Saccharomyces cerevisiae S288C: one gene and its partners. The protein of the gene in region 2 interacts with the protein of the main gene of each other region in a biochemical or structural test. Each region holds a gene or a part of one and is shown on either strand. Other genes may lie near its edges. The genes, in order: CKB2, CKA1, SVF1 and CKB1.

Region 1 (3,078 bases), on a different chromosome or scaffold from region 2:
ACCAAAGAATGAGTAAATCTCCTCTTTTCAGTACTTCCAGATTAGTCTTCAAACAGCTTTTGAGTTTTTAAAATATAAACCGCCTCTTAGTTCATAGGCAGTCTCCACGCGATGCCGCCACTTCTCCAATTTCTTGATAAATAAGGATGCTTCCTACATTCAAAGATTTCAAGCTATTCACTAAAATAACACCAATAATTCGTGGGTAACCACATTTGCAAATTGTTGATATATAACAGGCTAACTTCGGAGCACGCTCTTTTATCTGGTTGTATTATTGCCGTAAGGGGCAATAACGGTATATAAAAATTTAATATTAAATAGGAAAAGTAAAATACGAATGGAGGTAGAAAATAGTAATATTCTAGGAAAGAAAATGCTAGGAGAACAAATGATACCTGATTTTCACAATTTTATGACGAAGTTTCTCCATTATTTTCATTTTCGTTTTCAATTTCGCCTAGGATTTCATTTCGAATTTTTTCTTCTTTCTTTAATAGTTAGGTTTTAAAACCACCACTTTTCGTCAAATCAACATCTTTGGATTCAAGTTTCTCAACTAACTTGAGTCGTTGTAGTTCTTGCCACCTTGTCAGTTGAGCTTGTTTATGTAATTCAAATCCAAATATTTTTGGAACATATCTTTTAGTTGGGTGTTTGGGTACCATATCTGGAAATGCTTGCAAAAACATACCTGGAAAACTTGTTCCAAAGTATGCACCATCAATGGAACTATGTCTCGATGATTTTGGTATATAAAGATCCTCACAAGATGGACAATATAACTTGACACAATCTATACCAGGAATGTCATGCAAACCAACCGGTAACAACTGTTGTAAATTACAATACACACGGGGACATCTTCCAAAGTCCGCCTCTTTGTACTTAGCGTACATTTTTTGCAATCCTTTGATAGTTATAATGTAGCGTGCATGGATGAGACCATACAGCTTCCGGGAATCTGATTCTAATTGTTCTAAACGGGCATGTGTCATATTCTCTAGGATACTATCATCCAAATCATCCACAATATATTGTACCACGTAGGAAAATTTTGAAACTGTCTTTTGCAAGTTCATCAGATTAAAACGATCAGTGATGTACTCAGGATCGACATCACAGAAATATTCATGGCCTTTTCTCCCAAGAAATAAATCGATCCACATATCCACGTATTCCGATGAGTCAGAGTCATCATCCATGAGGACATCATCTTGTTCCACTCTGGAGCCTTCTCTAGTCACTGTTCCCACATTCTCCGATCTACTGCCCATGATCTGCTTTTCTATCAGTTCTCTAAGTCCCTTAATCTTGAATAATTTGAAAAAAGCTAGTATTTCTCAAGTAAAAGATTGATGAAAAAATACAGCAGGAAAATTCCACGTATCTGGAATGACCAACTTCTTTAAGAATGTGATTTACTTATTCTATTTGGTGCTTGTTTTCATTTGATAAAGGATTGCCAATACACCTCCATTTATTCGCTTTCATATTTTTTCTTCCTGGAAGGTCGACAAAAAAAAGCGCGAAAAAAATATCAGTTAATTCGGCTAGAATTATGAAGTCTTCATAAAACAATATACAAAAAGTGCTAAATCGTCCATACAGAGGAATACGCCACGCAGCAAAGGAGTTCCTACACAATCCGGAACAATGAGATTATTAAAGTATCCTTTGGATATTCATAATGAACAAGTGAATGCCTTAGCTGCCCTTGGTCCCTATATCATATTGGCAGGCAGTGGGGGTCACGTGATGGCGTGGAGACAACAACAACTAGTCGATACTGCATTCGATAGGGTTATGATTAAGGATTTAAAGCCAGAAGTTTCTTTCCAGGTGGATCAGGATACTACCGGTGATATTTTTTTCATAACAGGTGATCTCGAAACATTGTATATTGGATCTGAACATCGTCTGTGGGGTTATTCAGGTTGGCTCTGTAGAGATACAAATAACATCAATTCTGTCGAAAAAATGAACAGTAAGCTTCTGTTCGAGTGTAAATCTCCAAGCACAATAACGGATGTGAAATATGACATAAACTTAGGTATCTTATTTGTTCTTTTAAGTAATGAAAATAAGATACTATTATTTCGGCATAAAACCTTTGATAAACTCTCTGAAATAACTATTGACAAGGCGAGCAAACCTATTACAGGCATAATAGATCCTACTGGCCAAACTTTTACTGTTATGACTTCAGATAGATCAATTTTAGTCTATCAAATTAACAAAACGGGTACACACAAACTCATAAATAAACTTACGCAGCATGTACAAATGTATCCATTACATTATAGAATCTCAATGTCACCTCAGGCAGACATTTTACCAGTGATAAACTCGGTGAAAGGTGTGCCGAATAATGCTACCAGCTGTACCGCTTTACTTGACAGAAATAACAACTACAAAGTTACAAAAACACTGGTAACACCTTCTTCAAATGGATGTAGAGTTCTTGTTTATTCTCCAGCATTTTATGAAAAGCCTAATTTGAAAAAGGGCACCAGCACACGCTATAATTTAATCGCCACTTCGGGATCTACAGACGGTACTATTTTGGTTTGGAATACGAAGAGAATGAAACCTTTGTTTAATGCTCTCCAGGTTTCCTCCACCGCAATAAACGATATGTCTTGGTCACAGGATGGGTTCACCTTGTTTGCCATTTCAAACGACGCGACATTGTATACATTCGCATTCCAAGAGAAGGATTTAGGTGTAGCATTGCCTCAAACGGAAATCAAATCGTTACAAGAAGTAAACAAAAAGCTTCCAAAGCTTGAAGAGCCGTTAGCAGAACAAATACCGAAAAGTTTCCCAGAAAACATCAAATTAGAAGAATCTGCAAGCGCAGCACCTATTCCAAACGATATTGGTAGATCTGCCGTGGGCAAGAAACCGACCAAAAAAAAAACGGCTAACAATCAAACTAATGGCATCAAAACTATCCAGAGCACATCAATGGAATTCAACACTCCATCATACACTGTGCCAAGGGATTTGAAGAGAAAGCCAAAAGAGGCAACTCCAAGTAACATTGCCCCTGGCAGCAAAAAGCAGAAAAAAGAG
Region 2 (6,922 bases):
TGGAATGTAGGCAAACTGGGTACTTCAAAGTTTGTTAATCGCGTCACTATCTGCCAATGAATTAATAACATCAAAAAACCAAACAGCCACAGGTGAGCCCCATTTGAGATTATCCACCAGTTACAGTAAAATAGTTTTGATTTTTTGACTTTTTTGTCATCGATTTTTTCTGGTTCTCTTTTAAATATTTTTTGATTGATAAGCTTTGTTAATTGGTAGGGAATTGGATAAAGTGTACTGAGATTCAGAGTAGTAATTAAGCTTTTCAAAACTTTGTTGTATTTAGTAAAATTGGTTTGTCCTGTCAGGCCATTAATTTGGGACATAACCAGGTTTACTTGCTGATTTTCCAGCTGAAACAGAATTCTTTCGATTGCCATGAGCAAAATCACAAATGCAAAGTACATGACTGTGAAAATTATTGTCATTCTCTTACATTTACGGAAAACGTGATTTTTTACTGCACTTAGTACACTGTTTTCCTCGCTATTTGTTTTCAGAGACCGTTTAATTATTGAAGTAGACGATGTAACCTCGGTACTCCCCCCAGATAAAATGGAAATTTCATTCTGTAAGTTTGCAGTAAAGTTCCTTTTCAACTGAAGCCAGTCAGTGGAATTTCGTAGAAAATTCAAACTTAAGGTACTAGAGGTATCTAATTGAGTAGAAAAGTCAGTGATAGTGCCATTGAAGTTCTGCAATGATTTCAATTTCCTTGAGTAGTTCCCAAAAATACTGTCAAACATGGAGTAATTTAACAGTAGGTTTGATGCCATTTGTGAAATGGAATCCTTATCAATGGTCATTGCGTCTTCTGATATTTCATTCCATGTGTCATTTATCAGCTGTGATTTAGTGAGTAGTTCGTTAAAAATTGTATTGTTTACCTCAAGAACTTCCTTAATCAATTCAGTTTCCAAACTTATTTGGTCGTTGATAAGTTTTTGTTTATTATCCAGTATGTCGTCTGTGTATGACTTGAATTTTTCTTGCATATCCGTACCTACCGTAGATTCAATACTCCGTAGTTTGCTTTCGAAATACTGATCAATTGTATTATCAATGAATGTTTTATTTAAAGAGTAACTGTTGGCAGAATATATGGCATGCTGTGTTGTGACTGCTGTCATTGTGGCCGTTGTTGTGGCCGTTGTTGTGGCTGTCGCTGTAGCAGTTGAAATAGATGCAAAGGTTGAGACGGTATCATTTCGTTTGACCTGTGCGTGAGACATTTTTGCCATTGTAATGTCAATGACTGAAAAGGAACCCCAAATAGTTAAAATAACAGAAGTAAAGAATATCAGTAATAGAGGATGGAAAATACAACTAAAAAACCTCTGTGGAAGTGATAAAGGTTTAATTATGTGTACATTGTTCATCTTTGCCGTACTCTTAGTTTTATCGAAAAGTGGTGTAGATTTTCAGCTACTTAAGCCATGTTAGTGTTCTAGTTTTTTGCTTTACATGTTATATAAAGGGCCAAGATAGCATATGTAAATGTTTTATTACTGGGCTGAAACATTTTTAAAACATTTTTCAATAATGTGCTGTTATAACCGTACAAGGACGGTTATAATTCTGAATTAAAATGCTGCACCGAATGAAAATACCAATGTTCTTCCAAACCTATTGGCGAAAATTAAGATAAGCTGTCGCCTCTATAATCAAGAATAATCTCAACTATTATAAATATTATTCCCAGAAGTTGAAATTGTGACACATTTGAGTAATATCACCTTACACGGAACATAGTTGCCCCCTTCTCCGAAATTGCTGACAATGATAATCGGGGATTCAATGACAATGACAATGAAGGCAAAAGATTTTCATATTGTACTCTTGTTTTTTGAGTTATCACTTTCAAGTACCTTCTTGTTAACAGAAATAGAACCGCTATAGAGGTTATCGTGTATACGTATCTGTTGGTGTTTCTAAATCAAAAACTCGCTTTTAAAGCAGTCTTTCAATTGGAAGATTCAAAAGGATCTAAAAAGATCTAAAGTAGTAAAGAAAAAAGTATAAGCCCACACCTTTTTGGTAGGATAATGTTTACTGGTCAGGAGTATCATTCCGTAGACTCTAATTCCAACAAGCAAAAAGACAACAATAAACGTGGTATTGATGACACATCAAAGATCTTGAATAATAAGATACCGCACTCTGTTAGTGATACTTCTGCCGCCGCCACCACCACTTCTACTATGAACAATTCTGCTTTAAGTAGATCCTTAGATCCTACTGACATAAACTATAGCACAAATATGGCTGGTGTGGTTGACCAAATACATGATTATACTACTTCCAATAGAAATTCTTTAACCCCACAATATTCTATTGCAGCTGGAAACGTCAATTCGCATGATCGGGTTGTTAAACCCAGCGCCAATTCAAACTATCAGCAGGCTGCATACCTTCGACAACAGCAACAGCAGGATCAGCGACAACAGTCACCCTCTATGAAAACTGAAGAGGAATCCCAACTCTACGGTGATATTCTGATGAATTCTGGTGTCGTACAGGATATGCATCAGAATCTGGCCACTCATACAAATCTGAGCCAACTGTCGTCTACCCGTAAGTCCGCTCCGAATGATTCTACTACAGCCCCGACTAATGCGTCCAACATCGCCAATACGGCTTCTGTGAACAAGCAGATGTATTTCATGAACATGAATATGAATAACAACCCACATGCCTTGAACGATCCATCCATCCTGGAAACATTGTCGCCATTTTTTCAACCTTTTGGTGTTGATGTAGCACATTTACCTATGACGAATCCACCAATTTTCCAAAGTTCTTTGCCTGGATGCGATGAGCCAATTAGAAGAAGAAGAATATCAATCTCTAACGGTCAAATAAGCCAGCTAGGCGAAGATATTGAAACTTTGGAAAACCTGCACAACACACAGCCGCCCCCGATGCCCAATTTTCACAATTATAATGGTCTGAGCCAAACTAGGAATGTATCAAACAAGCCGGTCTTCAACCAAGCAGTGCCGGTTAGTAGTATTCCACAATACAATGCAAAAAAAGTTATTAATCCCACGAAGGACTCCGCATTGGGTGATCAGAGCGTTATTTACTCGAAAAGTCAGCAGCGAAATTTTGTAAACGCGCCATCAAAGAATACTCCAGCGGAGAGTATAAGTGATTTGGAAGGCATGACGACGTTTGCGCCAACTACTGGAGGTGAAAATAGGGGCAAATCTGCACTTAGGGAATCTCACTCTAATCCTAGCTTCACTCCAAAATCTCAAGGATCTCATTTAAATTTAGCGGCGAACACACAGGGAAATCCAATCCCTGGTACTACGGCATGGAAGAGAGCAAGATTGTTAGAAAGAAATCGAATTGCAGCTTCGAAATGTAGACAAAGGAAAAAGGTTGCGCAGCTGCAGCTCCAAAAGGAATTTAACGAAATTAAAGACGAGAATAGAATTTTACTGAAAAAGTTAAATTACTATGAAAAACTAATCTCTAAATTCAAGAAATTCTCCAAAATTCATTTACGTGAACATGAAAAACTAAATAAAGACTCAGATAATAATGTTAATGGCACTAATAGTAGCAACAAAAATGAAAGCATGACTGTGGATTCATTAAAGATCATTGAAGAACTTTTAATGATCGATTCAGACGTTACAGAAGTGGATAAAGATACTGGTAAGATCATAGCCATCAAGCACGAGCCATACTCTCAACGTTTCGGAAGCGATACTGACGATGACGATATAGATCTCAAGCCCGTAGAAGGTGGTAAGGATCCAGACAACCAATCATTACCCAATTCTGAAAAGATAAAATAACAAAGTTTTGGTGAGCACAACGGTGTTTCATTCAAGAATGATAAGGACAACTATATATGTAATATACGTGTATAAATACTCGAGCTGCATCCTTTCTTTTCTGCCGTTATTATTTCGTTTAGTTACTACATTTATGGTATAAATTACCTTTAAGACATTATTATTTTGCATGTATGAAATTTGCTCGTGTCAACCCCTTAGTCCTCCTTGCCTCTGTTGTATGGAGGAAGCCCTTTAAACCTGTATTTAGTTTTTTAAATCTATTAGAATTAAGTACAATTGTACAGATGGTAAAAAAAAGTAATCGTTATATCGTTTGTCAGTGATTTTTTTTTTTTTATTTCATTCATTATTTATTTCTTATTTTTCAATTTGTTCCCTTATTGGGGCAAACCACGGGTGTCCCATCGCTTCCTTAGCAGTTAATCTTTCTTGATGATCATATCTCAAAAGATTGTCAATAAGGTCAATAATTTCATCGTTGCCGCTTAAATGTTTATTACCATCATTGATGAATCTATGCCAAGGCTTTCTGATGTATTGGTCCATATCGTAAAATTCTCTCGGTAAGGTAATTTCATACTTCAACAGGTATTTCTCAAAATCGCTTGTACCAAGTACTTTGACGATCTTGACAAGCTGGTCTGTGTTACTCGTTCCATGGAAAAATGGCTCTCTTTTAAAGATCATAGAAGCCAACATTGTCCCAAACGACCACAAGTCTAAAGAATAATCATACATTCTGTAGTCAACTAGTAGTTCAGGACCCTTAAAAAACCTCGACGCAACACGAACATTGTATTCCATATTAACATGATAAAATTCAGCAAGCCCCCAATCTATCAATCGCAATTTTTTATTCTTATGATCAATCATTACGTTATGAGGTTTAACATCTCTATGCATTATTCCCATTGAATGACAATAGTCTAAGGCCTTTAATAACTCAAACATATAAAACCTAATTTCGAGATCGGTTAATTTAGGGTAAAGAATACGGAAGTCCACATTATCTACGTATTCGAAGACCAAAGCCGGAGTTTTTGAGATGGGATCCTTTATTATATCAAATAGATGAATTATGTTTGCATGACCATTGTGTGGCTGATCAAAGATATAGGGCCTGATGAATTTTAAAACGTCCTCCTTTTGATTTGTGTAATATTGATCTTTTTGAAATGGCAAAGTCGTTGGAGGCACTTTTTCGTTAGACAAATCCGTTAAGATTTTGATTTCTCTCTTGATCTTCTTCTTTTTAACTGGTTTCAACATCTTAATAACAATTTTAACTTTAGAGTCTAATTTGACACCTTGGAAAACCTCGGAGTATTTTCCTCGCCCAACTTTATTTTCAATTTCATAGTCCTTTGTATTTGTGGACCAATCAATTACAGTATTTTCATAATCCCAATATTCCTCGGTTCTTTGTTTATTGATATTCGTATAAACACGAGCCTCTGACCATACCCTGCATTTCATAGTTCGAATCAAATATTCCTTCTACAACCCCCTATTTTTGTCTGTATATTTGACTTCTTAAGTCCCTATTCAGAAAACTCCTAGTAGGTAATTGCAATACACCGAGTATCAACAGTATATGAAGTCCCTTAATCCGTTTTACTACAGGACTGCGAGGTTCGTCTAATTGCTACTGAAATTTTCCAAGCGTTGGTCATATTTTTGATTTTTCGCTTTTTCTTCAGTGTTCGTTCCGAGTGATTTTTGATAGCGCTTTTCTACCACTTAGTGCTGCTGTATGTATTTATATGATATACCAGCGATACATGTAAATATTTCTATAAAGACTGTAAACCTCTGATTACCTCTGCCTGTGCGTCTTTATTCGCTTCCTCAGCAGAGGAAGCAATGGCTGCGTTCTTTGTTTGGTGGAAGATATCTCTTGTCTTTTCGAAATAAACAGTTTCCAATAGATTTCTCATCTGAGACTCAATGTCCTCAATTAAGGAACCCAAATTAGCGACATGTGATGTGAAAATAACATCTAATGGACGGGACATATCAATAGCGATGTCCTTTTCGGTCTGTCTTGTCAGGTTCCCGGATAACATCATATGAGAATTCTGGTCAGTTTTTGTTTTGTCCAAGTGCAGAATGATTGTAGTGGTGACTCTATAGTTGAAACTGTCGGGAGAAGAAGGAGATGTTGTAACTTCAAAAACATGGATACTGTCCCAATTACTGTGATCTGATTGGTTTTTTTTGAAAAGCACTACCCCTGCAAAATCGTGCCCATTGAAATCTTCTTCATTGAGGTCCCAGAGGTACACGCTGGAGATACCGCCTTCATAATAGAGATCTCTGTAAACGTCGAAAGAGTCATTGGCTAAGATCTCCAATTTTCTTAAAGGGGCTGAGGGAAAGGGGCTGTCTTGTAGATCCTTTGGGGATAGTTCTGGGTAATAAGTGTTCGACCAAGGCGATCTGAACGAATCAATATCACGATTATAGTCGCAGCATAAGTACTCCCGGTTTGAATCGGCGGAATCTTTCTGTGTGGATAGGGGAACGTCTACTGAAGATAGTAAATCTTGTGCCAAATTTGGTTGTAATTCGATCAAGTTGTTTAGATTCTCCTGTAACGTGGTAGGATTTAGCCTCCTAAGAAGATCTAAAGCAGCATCGAATTGAGCATCAGACATTACGGTGGTGATTGTAGAGTTGGAGAGAGTTTTTGTATGTCACTTGATTGAACAGTTCTCCTTTATTTGTTACAAATGCTCTCATTTTTACGTTTTCCGTGGTGAAAAAAAAAAAAAAAAATGAACATATATACATGTAGTAACAGCAGTAGTAGATGAAGAATTTAGAGTTTAAACAGGTAACATAACGCTATAAGGGAAAGGAAAGTGGAGATGTTATACATTATATTTACGTAGACGTTGAAGGAAGAAGAAAGAAAAAGGGAACAGAAGAAGAAGAAAAAGAGAAAGGAAATTCATGTGGATTTAAGATCGCTTCCCCTTTTTACTTAATGTCTTGTAGGATCATTGAGCTTTAATACGTCTACTGCAGGACCCAGTAAACGTTGAAAACCACTTTTCCCCAATGTGGCAACTTTGGTTCTCTTTGTAGCAGTCACAGTGGCCTGTCTG
Region 3 (8,885 bases), on a different chromosome or scaffold from region 2:
TAGAAAAGACAAGTTGAGCTTGTTTGTTCTTGTTTTTTTATTATTAAAACAGAAAAATTGGAAAAAAGAAGAAGATAGTTACAAACCATATGTCTTTTCTCGAGCTCTTTTTATATGTTTCTGTGCTTTCTATATTGTATACCCATTTGCTCTCCATTGTCTGCAAGCCAAAATCTGCATACAGATCCGAGACATCTCTTGGATTTTTTTCAATGAAGGCACGGAGGGCATCTGAATAATCTCAATGAGTAAGAAACGAAATTTTTTAAGGAACATTTTCAATTTGCCTACGGACTATTCTCTGCAAAGTTCCAATAATTTCTCCTTTTTTTCCAGCGTTTAAAGGAAAAAAACTGGTTTTCGATGCCGGGGCCCCACAATGTACCTGCACTTTTTGTGGGGTAAACGTGGATAAAACGAATCTCCGTTGCCTAAAAAACATTTTTTTTCGTACGGTCCCCTCTGCGTTCAGGAAAAAAAGAGATCGGGTGGTGAGGCTAGGTAGCGTAGCCCCTTGGAGAAGCATATGAAACATTTGTCTTGGCGCCGCACACAGGAACTGCGCACTTCTTTTTGTCCTAGGTTGCTTATCACACCATATGGTGCACCCGTGCTCGTTGTCACTGCCTTTTTTTAACAATTCTTCCTTTGTTCCTCTGAAAGCACGGGCCGGCGCACTCCAATTACCCCTACATTAATTTCCAAGTAGTAGCAGGGGGATGAACATGTGAACATGTTGCAACAACTGCGGTGTCTTCTTAGGCTTGTGTTCGGAATTTCTTCCTCCTGTTTCGGTGTGTGTTGCTTATTTTTTCCTTGCCCCTTTGCGGCATCACAGCAGCCGTTGTTCCGTATTCCGGCTGATAAGCATGGAAAGATTTTCCAACAATACTCATGAAAAAATGTGTTGGTGTCTGAGTAAGCTAAATTTTCCCAAATTTGATGCCATTCAACCCGAAAACTTAAAATGTAAAAGGGGTTGAGATAGTGCAGCTGTGTGGCAAAAGTCAAAAAAAATCTGTTCCTTTCAAGGAAATGAAAAAAGGAAGGAAAAAATGTCCAGGACAGAAAGGCCATCCCCTTAGTAAAGAAACCTGCTTAGAGATTCTTGAGGCTCGAAAATGGTTGGTGGTTGGACTTCTTTTGAGTTTTCCGTCCGGATTTCAAACGAAATCCATCATCACGTTCCTAGCAACAAGAGGATTATTGGACGATTGTCGGGAGTAAAGATTACTCAGTTGGTTTTCTAACTCTACTGCGCACTTCTTCGTGGGTATAACAAATTGCACACACATACATTCTTATTATTTGATACTGCTTACGATAACCGGAGACTTCTTTTTTTTCCTGTTCGGCTCTCGCCGATGGTATGAAGTTAAATGGTAGAAAAATTGTTTGTTTTGTTTACAAACTGGATCAAGAAATGTTAAAATTCTGTTTGATATCATGTACCAATGTCTTTTATTAACTGTATCAGAGAATTATATATATAAAGTCATAAATCTTGTGTATTATTTATCATTATTGACTAGCACATCGAATCTTAAAATACACTATTATTCAGCACTACGGTTTAGCGTGAAATTATTTCTTGCCGAACATTTTCTTGTAGAATGGCTGGTCATCATGCATCAATGCATCAGCATCGTAGTTAGCACCTCTTTGAGATGTTGGAACCCATGAAGCAGACTTCCATGGTAGAACACCTTCAGCGTACATATCATTGACTTCTTCCAAAGTCAAACCCTTAGTTTCTGGCACAAAGAAGAAAACGTAGAAGTAGGCGAAAACCATACAGCCCATGAAAACGTAACCGTAGTAGAAGTTAATAGCACCAGTAATAAATGGAGTGAAGAAACCAATCAAGAAACCCCACAACCAATTAGCAGCTGTAGCAATAGACATAGCCTTAGACTTGACTCTCAATGGGAAAGTTTCAGAAATAACAACATAAGCAATTGGAGCCCAAGTGGTAGCAAAACAGAAAATATAGAAACAGGCAAAGACAATCATACAGTTACCAGCACCCTTGGATGAACCATTACCTTCACCATTTGGCCATAGTCTGGTGACACCAACAGAAGCGTAAACTACATAACAGCAGACCATACCAATGGCACCATATAACAAACAGTTACGACGTCCAAAACGATCGACAGTGTACAAAGAACAACAAGTAGAGAAGAAGTTGACGACACCGAAAACAATAGAAGTTTCGAAAGAATCACTCATACCAACAGCGTTAAAAACGGTAGTACCATAGTAGAAGAAATAGTTATCACCAGTCAATTGTTGTAGAGATTGGATCATGATACCCATCATAGTACGCTTAAACATGGCCGGCTTACCAGTGAACAACTCACCCCATGATGCTGAACCAGCAGCTCTAGCTTCTTCAACACTAGCTTCAATAACTTCCAACTCTTGTTGAATGAATGGATGGTCTGGGGCAACCTTGTTAACTTTGGAAAGAGATGCTCTTGCTTCGTCAATTTGACCAGCTTCAACCAAATAACGTGGGGATTCTGGAACGAAAGTCATACCACCGATCATAAACAAAGCCCAGGCAAAACACAAACCTAATGGAACTCTCCATTGCACAGAGTTGGAGTAGTTCTTAGTACCGAAGTTGGTACAGTAACCCAAGAAAATACCCAAGGTAATCATCAGTTGGTAACAGGAGACTAAAGTACCTCTCATTTCCTTAGGAGCGACTTCAGAAATCAACATAGGAGATAAAACGGCAATACCACCAACACCCAAACCGGAAATAATTCTACCGATGAAATATTGGTACCATTTGTTGATGGATGCAATTTGAATAATAATACCGATGATGTAGATAACAACAACGACAATCAAACCCATTTTACGACCGTACATATCACCCAATTTAGCCAAAATAATACCACCAATGGCACAACCAATGTTGAAAATGGAGACAATTAAACCAGTTCTAACCTTAGACAAATAATAACTACCATCTTTATGCTTCATACCGAATCTTCTCAAGAAATCAGTTTGGGCGACGAAACCAGAAATGGTACCAGTATCCCAACCGAAAACGAAACCACCGAAGGCAACCATAACACAACAGATAGACACAGTGACATATGCACCTTTACCTGTATTTGGGTTGGTAAGTACTTGGTCGGCCTCAGCTTGGAAATCATCTTGAACACCTTTTTCTTCAGGCATGTTCATTACCTGAGAGCTATTCGAAGGCAGGTCAGCATTCGAATTCTCACTTGACTTTTGTGGAGATATTAAATCTGGAGTTGAATTCATGATTGTTTAACTCAGATGTAAATTTTGTTTGTGATTCTATTATTTATGAAAAGCTATTAAGTAAAATTATGGAATATTCATGCTGAAGATAAAACAGCGCCTGTATTTATATGCAACCCCCAAGCGAAAAAAAACTTTGACTTTTCTTCTCTTCTGGAGAAATTCTCTGGGGATATAGTCCCCAGATTTTTTGAGTGGGCCCCCAATGTCCCACATCGTTATTGAGTTGTTTCTTTCTCCAGAAGGTCGTTGTACAGTCATTATAATGGCGGTCAGTATAATGACCTCCGGAAATACCAACATCGGGGAAAGCGGAAAATCTGGAAAAATTCTCCACGAAGCTTTCTCTGTGATAATCCGCGACCGAGAGTTTAACCGAATCCGCGGAACGAGATATTCCGTGTTTATTGCGGTATTATATGAGCCGGACGAATCCGGAAAAACTACGTGACAGGAACGATGACCGGGCAGCAGGCGAAGCTGGAAGAATATAGCTAAGAAAATGCGCACGGAAAAAAAACACTCCCGAATTTCTCCGTGAAAAGAGCCTACTAGGGGATAATAGTAGGTATCCGTTAATATTACCGAACTATTGAAAACCTACCAAATGCAAGAAGATGCAAACGAGCTAGAATGTTCCGCGAATAGCTCATCTTACAATTTTTTTCTTTTTTCAAGAAAAAGAAAGTATTTTTTTTTCCTTTCATTTCATTGCTCCTCCTCCAGGTGTTATCTCGAGAAGATGAAGGCTGTCTGCGATGACGAATAGGAAAGAAAAAATTTTCCTTAATTTTGCTTGCTTAATTCTTATACGAATAATTCTTCTTAATCAACATCGGGCTTCATATTTACCAACACGCATTATTGATTAACAATACTTGCCTTAGGTTGAAATTGGACGCCGGAAGAGAATTTATAGCTAGTCAGTGTTCTTCGGCGTAATTTTATTAATGGACATACAGTGTACTTTTCAAACTACACCGCCATTTGATATACCGGTGTAATTTTTGATGAAGTGTCAGAATTAGCCGCACAGTTAATTGAACACTTCGCTGTAAGGTGTGGATACAGATTAGATAAGAGCATTAGGCACCACATTTCTTCAGGCTTTTCCTGATGCTGGTTTGGATATTGCCTTCATCCCGCACCAAAGCTGGCGTCCCGCATGAGGAAAATGAAGAGTTGTAAGCAGCACTAAATTCCGAAATTAAAGGGCGGGCGGATGCCACCAGTAAAATATTCTTGATCAATCTTTGATATTTTCAAATGATCTCCCATTGTAATCTGAGAACTGCTCTTGTTTGGCTACGTAAGGCAGTATGAGGGTTGTAGTTAGTAGTAACCCTGTCTAAGATTCCCGGTGCTATGTACTTCTCTCACAATAATACAAGTAGTGAATGTCACTTAATAAATTTTTGTAATAAAAAGTCTACAAAGTTTGTTTGTGACTTGTCGAAATTCAATTCTGTTGCTTTCATTTTTCTGTAGAGAAGAAATAATATTCCGACAAAATGTAAATAAATATGCTAAAGTGGGTTACGACAAATTTCTTGAGAGCCATTGATTTTTGCTATAGAGGCATGAAAGCATACTGCACACACATCCAATACTTAACTTTGGCAAATGAGGAGCCTAATTACAGAGATAACTTCAAACTACATAAAGAACCAAGATACTAGTTAATGGAACGCCTAGACGATCATGCTTAACTGAACGAAAAGTAACTAATGAAATACAAGTCTCTTTTCGCCGAAATTTGAATTTAACAAGTCTAGTATACCCATTGTTAGTGCATTTCTCCGTGTTTTGAGACGCTTTTTTTACATGCTTCTAAATAAAGGCATCATCCATGCTCGGCAGCCGTAGAAAATCATTAGCCCCTAACTTCCAAAAATAGACTGCGCGCTACGTGAGACGCTTACTTCAGCTGTAGTATCCTAACGTGAAGGTTTTTTTAATTTACCCCATAAGGATCGCGTCAATAGGATCGTTTCCATTTTCCGACTTTGCAGATTAGATGGATCCCTAAAACGAAGTGCATAGTTGCGGTATTTTGTATTTGAGCCATTTAAAATAGTCTGGAAGGTTTTCTTTTTGATTAAATACATTTGGTGTTTCATTAAACCTGGAACAATACATATGATCACTTCATCCCGATAAATACCAAGCCCCAGGAACGTACTTACTCCTACCAGCACCTGTATTATAACCTTTTCTGAGAGTTCTTTTGTTTTGCTTGCAAGGGTATATTTCGCAGATATCCACGAAAACTTTATTCATTTGCTCAGGCTATATTACATTATATATATATATGTATGGATACATAAGAAAAATGAGATGAATAAAAACGACAACTATTTATTATGGCAACATTGTTTACTGTGGCTATTTCTCGCATCACTCTTATTTTGAACAATAGTATCGATTATGTGACGCAACAATTAAAAAGGGGTATAACGATAACTTGCTATAATTATTAAAATTTGCAATATTAGATTTGTGTAGTATTAAATCACAGATAGGAAAAAGCATACGAGACCTTCCCACTTTTGCTCATGCTTCATTGTAAGACTCCTCACTAATCACATCTGATTCAGAAATGAATGTTACTTCGGTCCAAGCTACACCGTGAATTTTCTCCCCGCCATTTATTTGTAAAGTTGAGCTTTTTGGATCAGCATATTGGTATATAAATGGCTTAGTACCAGCAACACCAGAGACGATGTTTTTAACAAAACTTGGAATTTCGCCCATCACATCAATTCTTTCAACTAGGTTGTTCAACGGACCCTCCACAACAGCACAGATCTTATTTTCTTCTGCGACGTTCTTGTATTCTTCTTCCTCTTCATCTTCCTTTTCATCTTCCTTTTCATCCTCTCCTTGTAAAGCTTGTTCAGTCCCATTCTCGGATTCCAATTGTTCATCCTTGACTTTGGTATTGATACCTTTGAAGGTGATCTTAATATCTTTTGGAACTTTCCAACCAACAGAATCAATTTCTGAGTTTAAGTGCTCAACAAGATTGTTAGTTGTCATCGCTAAAACTTCTTTATCATCGGTAATAATACCAGCAGAAATTTTAGTGTTGGCATATGATTTTGGTGTAGTGAACTCCATCAACACCGCGGAATACTTTTCGGAATGGAAAAACATGAAGTTCCATGCCTTAGCTGCGTGATGAGGCTTCATGCCTTGGAAGGCCATTATAAATGTCGAAATCGCAGGGTCTTCCTCTTTAAAAGTAATCGTACGATCTTCATAGGTGATTTCGACTTCTTCACTGTCGCTTTCTTCTTCACTACCAGATTCCTCCTCAGAATCACCAGACTCTTCATCTTCGTCTTCATTATCATCCTCATCAGCTGAGGATTCTTCTTCATCAGATTCTGGAATAACTTCTTTCTTAACTTTGATAGTACCGTGACAAGCATTCCTTGGCCAGAAAACGTGTCTCATGCTACCCCATGGTTCATTGATATTGTTACCATAATAAGTCGCAGGATCATCGCCTATCTTGGCTCCAGGGGTTAACCTTCTTATATGCAAGTCAACGACAGATAAATCACAAACACTGGATTGAATGTGATAGCTTTCACCGTCTTCACTTAATTCTACAGAAAGATTGTCGGCATAGAAGTTTGGACCTTCGATGTAAAAATTTTCCAACTTGGTGGAAGTCCAGATATTCAAATCCTCTGGATTCTTCGAGTCAAAAATTCTGAAAGTAAATTGGGATGCAGTGTGCAACCCAATGATGTTCGAATGAATAACCTGGGCAAATCCAAAGATACCTGTTTTCAAGTCACTGAAATAAAAGATAACCGATTCAACGTTTGTATGGTCAGGAGCTTGCCAAAAAAAATCTTCACGACTGGTTTCTCTGTAAGGCTGCTTATTTTTTACCCTATCAGCAACACTATGAATGTAATCTTTCCCATATTCAGGCTCAGCCATACCAGTGACTGCTGAGATCCCACCTTTTATCCACTTCAACATTATATTATATTATACAAAAGCTTATTCGTTTCTTTTTTCTTGATTCGATGCAATAAATGACTGAATCTTTTGATCTTCTACAGATTTCAAATTATCAAACGAATACAAAAGAATTCTATCAACAGGCTCTATCTATATATAACAAACGAAAAGCCGTGCTATTCGTGAATCTCAAGGAGTAATCTTGCAAGATATCCCCGAATGTTTCAATCAACCAGCTGTCATTTCGCTTTTGTTTTCTCCCACTCATCGCAAGTTTGCCTCCTCAACAACAAAAAAACAACGAAAAAAAGCGGTACTAAACCGGACCTGAAGTTCCGTGGAAAGTGAGATTTATATTATGCAGGATTTTGCTCAGATTCTCTCAAGAGCAATATCATAATGCATAAGTGATGAAAAGTATGGCAGAAACGGTGGGAGGAACCGCAGTTTTAGCTAGGATCTGGAAACAATCAGTGATTTGCCATTTAACAGCTGGGGGAATCTAAATACTTTTGAATTTTAAGGTTTCCAGCACCATGCTTCGCTTTACTGGTGCTCGCGCTATTAGAAAGTACTCTACTAGGTATGCACTCGAGCACCTGAAAGAAGGTGCTCCTCTGAAAGGGCTGTTTTCTATTGAAGGATTACAGAAAGCATGGTTCGACCGAGTGAAATATCTCGATGCAAAATTGAACGATTGTACAAATGAAGCGCAACAAAAACCCTTAGAAACTCTCATCCATGAAAATTCGAAATCTGCTTCAAAGAAACATATCGTGAACTATGCGTCATCATTGTACAACTTGAAATTTAGCATGTCTTCCCTTCAGGGATGTATCAGGACTCCGCCAGAGGAATGCCCCAGGCTAGGTCCAGAGGCGCTACTTCAGACCCCTGATTTCAATAGGACAATAAGCAATGAGCCATTGACCACTGGCAACGAACGTTTGCAAGCAGCTCTAATTTCTTCATTTGGGTCTTTGATGGAGTTCAGAACATTATTAATAAATTCAAATCTTGCTATATCAGGCGACGGGTTTACGTGGTTAGTCGCAAGACGGCAGCTCGACAAACGTGCTATGCGCAACGACATGCCAAACAGGGATATTGAATATGATAAGCTGTTTATATTGAATACGTACAATGCGGGAACTCCCTTCAACTTCTCTACATCTGGGGTAATGAATGAGCTCAATAACCAATATACCAACATGGAAAAACAACGAGCCAAAGAAGCCGGTAATCTTGAAGATTCTGAGATGACTGCCAAGCAAGCCAAGACAAAATTTATTTATGAAACCCAACAGAAAGGTTTTTCTGGGAAAGAGGTTTCATATATCCCGCTTTTAGCCATTGATGCGTCACCAAAAACATGGTTAACTGATTATGGCGTATTTGGGAAACGAGAATATTTAGAAAGGGTATGGGACTCTATAGAATGGAAAATTGTAGAGTCAAGGTTACCTCAACGTACTAAGATCCAAGCATTCAACACGTTATGAATGAAACTGGTAATGGGAATTTTTTCCTTTTGATATAAGTTGGTAGTCTCTGTAAATATATAAAGTCAAACTATTCGTAATGTGTATATAACGTGGTCTTAAATTATTTTTATT
Region 4 (4,539 bases), on a different chromosome or scaffold from region 2:
TGACTGCTGACACAGCTGACGAGCTGGAAAGCTCTGCTATCTTAAAGATGAGGGAGTCTGATGCATCTTTAAATGTTACCACCGGCAATAATACATCAAGGAAAACGACTTCCAATTCCAAAAAACGATGGTCTCTATTATCCAATCATTCTGCTGTTTCATCATCTAAATCTAAGAAAAGATGGTCTGTACTTTCTTCAAGCTTTACCAGTGAATCTCATAAGGACAGGGAATCGAGGAACGTTTTGCAACAAAAAAGAAAATCCTTGCAGAGTTATTCAAGCTTAGATACGGTAGCATCTAATAGCTCTATCTCTGCTTCTTCTTCTTTGAAAAGATCGTCCACTGGTCTTTCCCTCAGACAATTGTTTACCAAGATAGGCATAAACGATGATATATCACAACCTGGGATCGGGATTCCGCAAGGTAAGGAAAATCTGCCTCCAACTATGGGCAAAAAAAATTCATCAATTGCTTCCACTAGTTCGGAAAACAGACTTAGGACACCATTGAAGCCGCTTGTTAATCATTCTAAAAGGCCCACTTCACAACCACAACAGCAACAACCACTATATAATGCATCATTGTCCTCGAGAAGATCGTCGATTTCTTCCACTGTCTCTTCTTCCAGCTCGTCTAAATGGAGATTCTGGAAGAGAAATAAGAACCAGACACCTGCATTGTTGCAACCAGACCACCATTCTTTAAAAACCTTTCCTGCAGTAAACCGTCGTGATTCCATGACGCCCGTTGAACCAAGAAATATGGTAAAACATAAGACATCCTTTTCAGATTTCCATAAGACTATCTTCAGTTCAAATACGTATTCTGAAAGCAGCGATACAATATCTTCCATGGAAATTACTTTGAAAAACAAAGCTTCTTCCTCAAGTCTATCTTTGAACGTGTTGAAGAAAAGGAATTCGCAATCAAGTTTGAAGCACAAAAGTTCACATGCATCCTTACAAAAATTCAAAAGAAACAAAGGAAAGTCCTCCATGATAGCACCATCGACAGCAACTAATAGCAGCAATGATGACTCTTGTAGCTACAGTTCCAAAAATTCTACGTTGAGTCACCGAATATCGTTACCTGTACCGGACCAAGTTTCCCGTGATAAAATTCAGAACAAATTAAGATATTCGACCTCATTACTCTCATTAAATTCTAAATCATCTTTACCGATGAACAAAAATGATCATGATGAGACACTTCTAAGACAGATTTTACTAAATTGTGATATAAAGAGAATTTTAAACCCCGCAAAAGGAGATGTATTGCCTTTAATCAACGATGTAAACCATTTGTCATCAATACAATTAACATCAAATGTTTGGCAAATTGGTGAAGTAATCTGTAAAAAAGTTTCTCTCGGTACTATTGATGACATTACATGGGATAGAAAGTTCTTATCTTTGCAGGAACTGGAAAAACTCAAAATCATGCAACAAAAATTTGATGGCATACCGCAACTATTGAAAAGTTTTGTTGTTAAAGAGGCAAATGGGGGGTTGTATTTGTACTTACTATTCAAAGATCACGGTACCCCAATTTCGTTAATCTCACTGAAAAACTGGAAGCAGATTCTAAAGATTTTTTGGTCTTGTGCTGGTATAATTCATGGGTTGGAAAAAAATTTGAAATTTGAACATCGTAATCTTACTTTGGATAATATTTTGATAGATGGTAATGGGAATATAACAATTATTGATTTTAAATGCAGTAGATTGCAAACTCCTCAAGATGATGTTTTATATCTACGGCTAGATCATCCACTCTTTTTTCTAAATGGGAAAGACAAGAGTAAAATAAACGAATACCAGTATCAATTTGAGTTTGAAATCTATCAAAGTATGCGGATCTTGTTGAACATGGACGCGTCAGCTTTTGAGCCCATGACAAATTTGTATTGGTTATATTACCTGTCACGCGTTTTACTAAAGTTTGGTGACAGGAAGCTTGGTAAGAATGATGCAAACAGGGATAAAATGGCAAGGGTGATAAACCATTTGGAAATGAACTTGGCAGTTCATAAAAGAGGGGGGCAGTTATTCAAAAGATTGGAGACGGAGGACATTAAGAATACTGGAGATTTACTAAAACTTTATAAATAAAACAAATAGGAATGTTGACATTTATATTTCATTTTCTTTCTATTGTATACTCCAATACATAAACATATTATATATACGTACATAATGTAATAACACTAATCTAAAATAATGGCATCGTCGACAGCATCCAAGGCTTTCTCCTCTTGAGTCTCCACAGATGCAGGTGCTTCCATTTTGGGAGTCAAAAACAATTGCTTAACGATAAATTCCACGCCGTTGATGACATTCATCAATGCCCAAACCCAGATTCCCAAAGAGACACTCTGTAAAGCCATATCATCAAACTTGGAAGCACCAAATTTGCCCTCCATTATATGCCATTTCTGAGAAATAGTCCTTAGAGGATGCAAGAGAACATATAACCAGCCTTGAGACCAAACACCACTTACAAACGTAGGGAACAAGGTGCTAGTCGAGGAACTCAACTTGTAAACTGGTGTCTTGCCGTACATAATCTTAAACACAAAAAATGGCACCGTCAATGCCAATAACCTGAGTTTGTGAAGATGGGCCTGAAAGGCTTTATTTTCTGATTGTATTTCGTCCTTCAAGTTATTTATTTCTTTATCTAACGAGTCCAATTTTCTATTGTTCTTAGTCCATTTGGCATAATTATCCTGCGCGGAGATAGAGTTGTTGAATTCTTTTAATTCGTGACGTTCTTTGACCTTGGCTAAGTATTTTTTGGATAATTCATTTCCTGGTGCAAATTTAGAGATCCATTTCTCGTGGTATTTGTTTGTATACTGTAGAAACTTTGTGACCACAATAAAGAATATCGCTACCGCTGCTGCCCAATGCATTTCTCCTATTTCAATCAACTAGACGTAGTTCAAGGATTGCAAACTGTCCTGCTTTCTTTTATCTGGTCTTTTTATCCCGAGGTATTGTTGTATATACCACTACTCTGTGATTTTTTTTCACTCTTGGGAAGGAAAGAAAAAGTGAAAACATCAACTGGTAAGTGTCTAATGACAAAAACAGGAGGTAGTTGGTACGTGCAAAACACGATAGTGACGTTAATCCGAATCTGTAAATTGGTGAATTGGTATTTAGAAGCGACCATTAGCTAAAAGAGAGAGAAAACTATGTCGCAAGAGTTTGTGGAAGACTATTCACGTACAGGGTCCTCAGACGACGAGGATAGTGGAGCTTATGACGAGTGGATTCCATCGTTCTGTTCCAGATTTGGTCACGAGTACTTCTGCCAAGTCCCGACAGAGTTTATCGAGGATGATTTCAATATGACCTCGTTATCCCAAGAGGTACCCCACTACCGGAAAGCTCTGGATTTGATATTGGATTTGGAGGCTATGAGTGATGAAGAAGAGGACGAAGACGACGTGGTGGAAGAAGACGAAGTGGATCAAGAGATGCAGAGTAATGACGGTCATGATGAAGGCAAAAGGAGAAACAAGTCGCCAGTGGTGAACAAGAGTATTATCGAGCACGCAGCAGAACAGTTATACGGATTGATACATGCAAGATTTATTCTGACCAAGCCAGGCCTGCAAGCAATGGCTGAAAAATTCGACCACAAGGAATTTGGAACGTGCCCCCGTTACTATTGTAATGGCATGCAGTTGCTGCCTTGTGGGTTGAGCGATACAGTTGGGAAACACACCGTAAGGTTGTACTGTCCCAGTTGTCAGGACTTGTATCTTCCCCAATCATCTAGATTCCTGTGCTTAGAAGGTGCATTTTGGGGGACAAGCTTCCCTGGTGTGTTCTTGAAACATTTCAAAGAATTGGAAGAGTATGTGGAAAGGAAAAGTAAAGAGTCCTACGAGTTGAAAGTTTTTGGGTTCAGGATAAATGATGAGGCAGTATCTGGTCCTAGAATGAAGTGGTTGAGACAATATCCATCCACGGAGGAGGACTGGGAAGAATTTGCCAAATGCGAGTTCGAGACACCGGCGGTTTAACCCTTGATTTATTTTCCTCTTTGCCCTACCATATACATATGTACTTTACCTATTTACATTGTTTCAGTTTTTATATCACCACTATTATTATTATTACTATTACCACTTTGGAGTACTTTAGTGATTCATTTCCAATTGTTTTCCTGGAGCCCAGTCTTTGAATGCCTTGGCCAAGTTGTACCAGTACTTTAGCTCCACGGTCAACTTCACTGCGGCGGCGTAATCCTTGTCATTGTAGCATTGTCCCAACTGGGCTTCAATATCTTGAATTCTTTCCTTGTTTTGCTTTTCAAGCAGCTTCACACCAGCTTCGTCGTCCATCTGGGATAATTCATCATGGATGTCTAGAACTTTCAATAGTAACTGTGGATCACTGGTAGTTACTTCATTTGAGGTCTGTTCTTGCGTCAAATCGATATTGCGCAAGAGTTTTAGCATATATTGTGACCTTCTAAGGGGATCTTTGAGAGTATGGTAAGCTTGATTAAGAGTTGATGACT

The links.
Region 1: the proteins of CKA1 (region 2) and CKB2 form a complex in vitro, tested with the Saccharomyces cerevisiae proteins (3 studies listed by BioGRID).
Region 3: of the proteins of CKA1 (region 2) and SVF1, one has a biochemical effect on the other in vitro, tested with the Saccharomyces cerevisiae proteins (3 studies listed by BioGRID).
Region 4: the proteins of CKA1 (region 2) and CKB1 form a complex in vitro, tested with the Saccharomyces cerevisiae proteins (3 studies listed by BioGRID).

Annotation. Positions count from the first base shown.
Region 1 is NC_001147.6:403,967-407,044, reverse strand, and holds CKB2 (casein kinase 2 regulatory subunit CKB2), read right to left. Parts: upstream 1,278-3,078; coding exon 501-1,277; downstream 1-500. Other genes in the region: HIR2 (Hir2p), read left to right, coding at 1,657-3,078. UniProt on the Saccharomyces cerevisiae protein: Regulatory subunit of casein kinase II/CK2.
Region 2 is NC_001141.2:283,621-290,542, forward strand, and holds CKA1 (casein kinase 2 catalytic subunit CKA1), read right to left. Parts: upstream 5,289-6,922; coding exon 4,170-5,288; downstream 1-4,169. Other genes in the region: pheromone-regulated protein PRM2, read right to left, coding at 1-1,379; CST6 (Cst6p), read left to right, coding at 2,046-3,809; CAP2 (F-actin-capping protein subunit beta), read right to left, coding at 5,606-6,469; cAMP-dependent protein kinase regulatory subunit BCY1, read right to left, coding at 6,799-6,922.
Region 3 is NC_001136.10:1,161,373-1,170,257, forward strand, and holds SVF1 (Svf1p), read right to left. Parts: upstream 7,288-8,885; coding exon 5,842-7,287; downstream 1-5,841. Other genes in the region: YDR344C (uncharacterized protein), read right to left, coding at 634-1,077; hexose transporter HXT3, read right to left, coding at 1,585-3,288; mitochondrial 37S ribosomal protein mS43 MRP1, read left to right, coding at 7,806-8,771. UniProt on the Saccharomyces cerevisiae protein: Ceramide-binding protein that may transfer ceramides from the endoplasmic reticulum membrane to the cis-Golgi network membrane, and is thereby required for the biosynthesis of complex sphingolipids. Required for survival in response to oxidative stress.
Region 4 is NC_001139.9:454,954-459,492, forward strand, and holds CKB1 (casein kinase 2 regulatory subunit CKB1), read left to right. Parts: upstream 1-3,202; coding exon 3,203-4,039; downstream 4,040-4,539. Other genes in the region: protein kinase ALK1, read left to right, coding at 1-2,114; GET complex subunit GET1, read right to left, coding at 2,210-2,917; J-type chaperone JAC1, read right to left, coding at 4,157-4,539. UniProt on the Saccharomyces cerevisiae protein: Regulatory subunit of casein kinase II/CK2.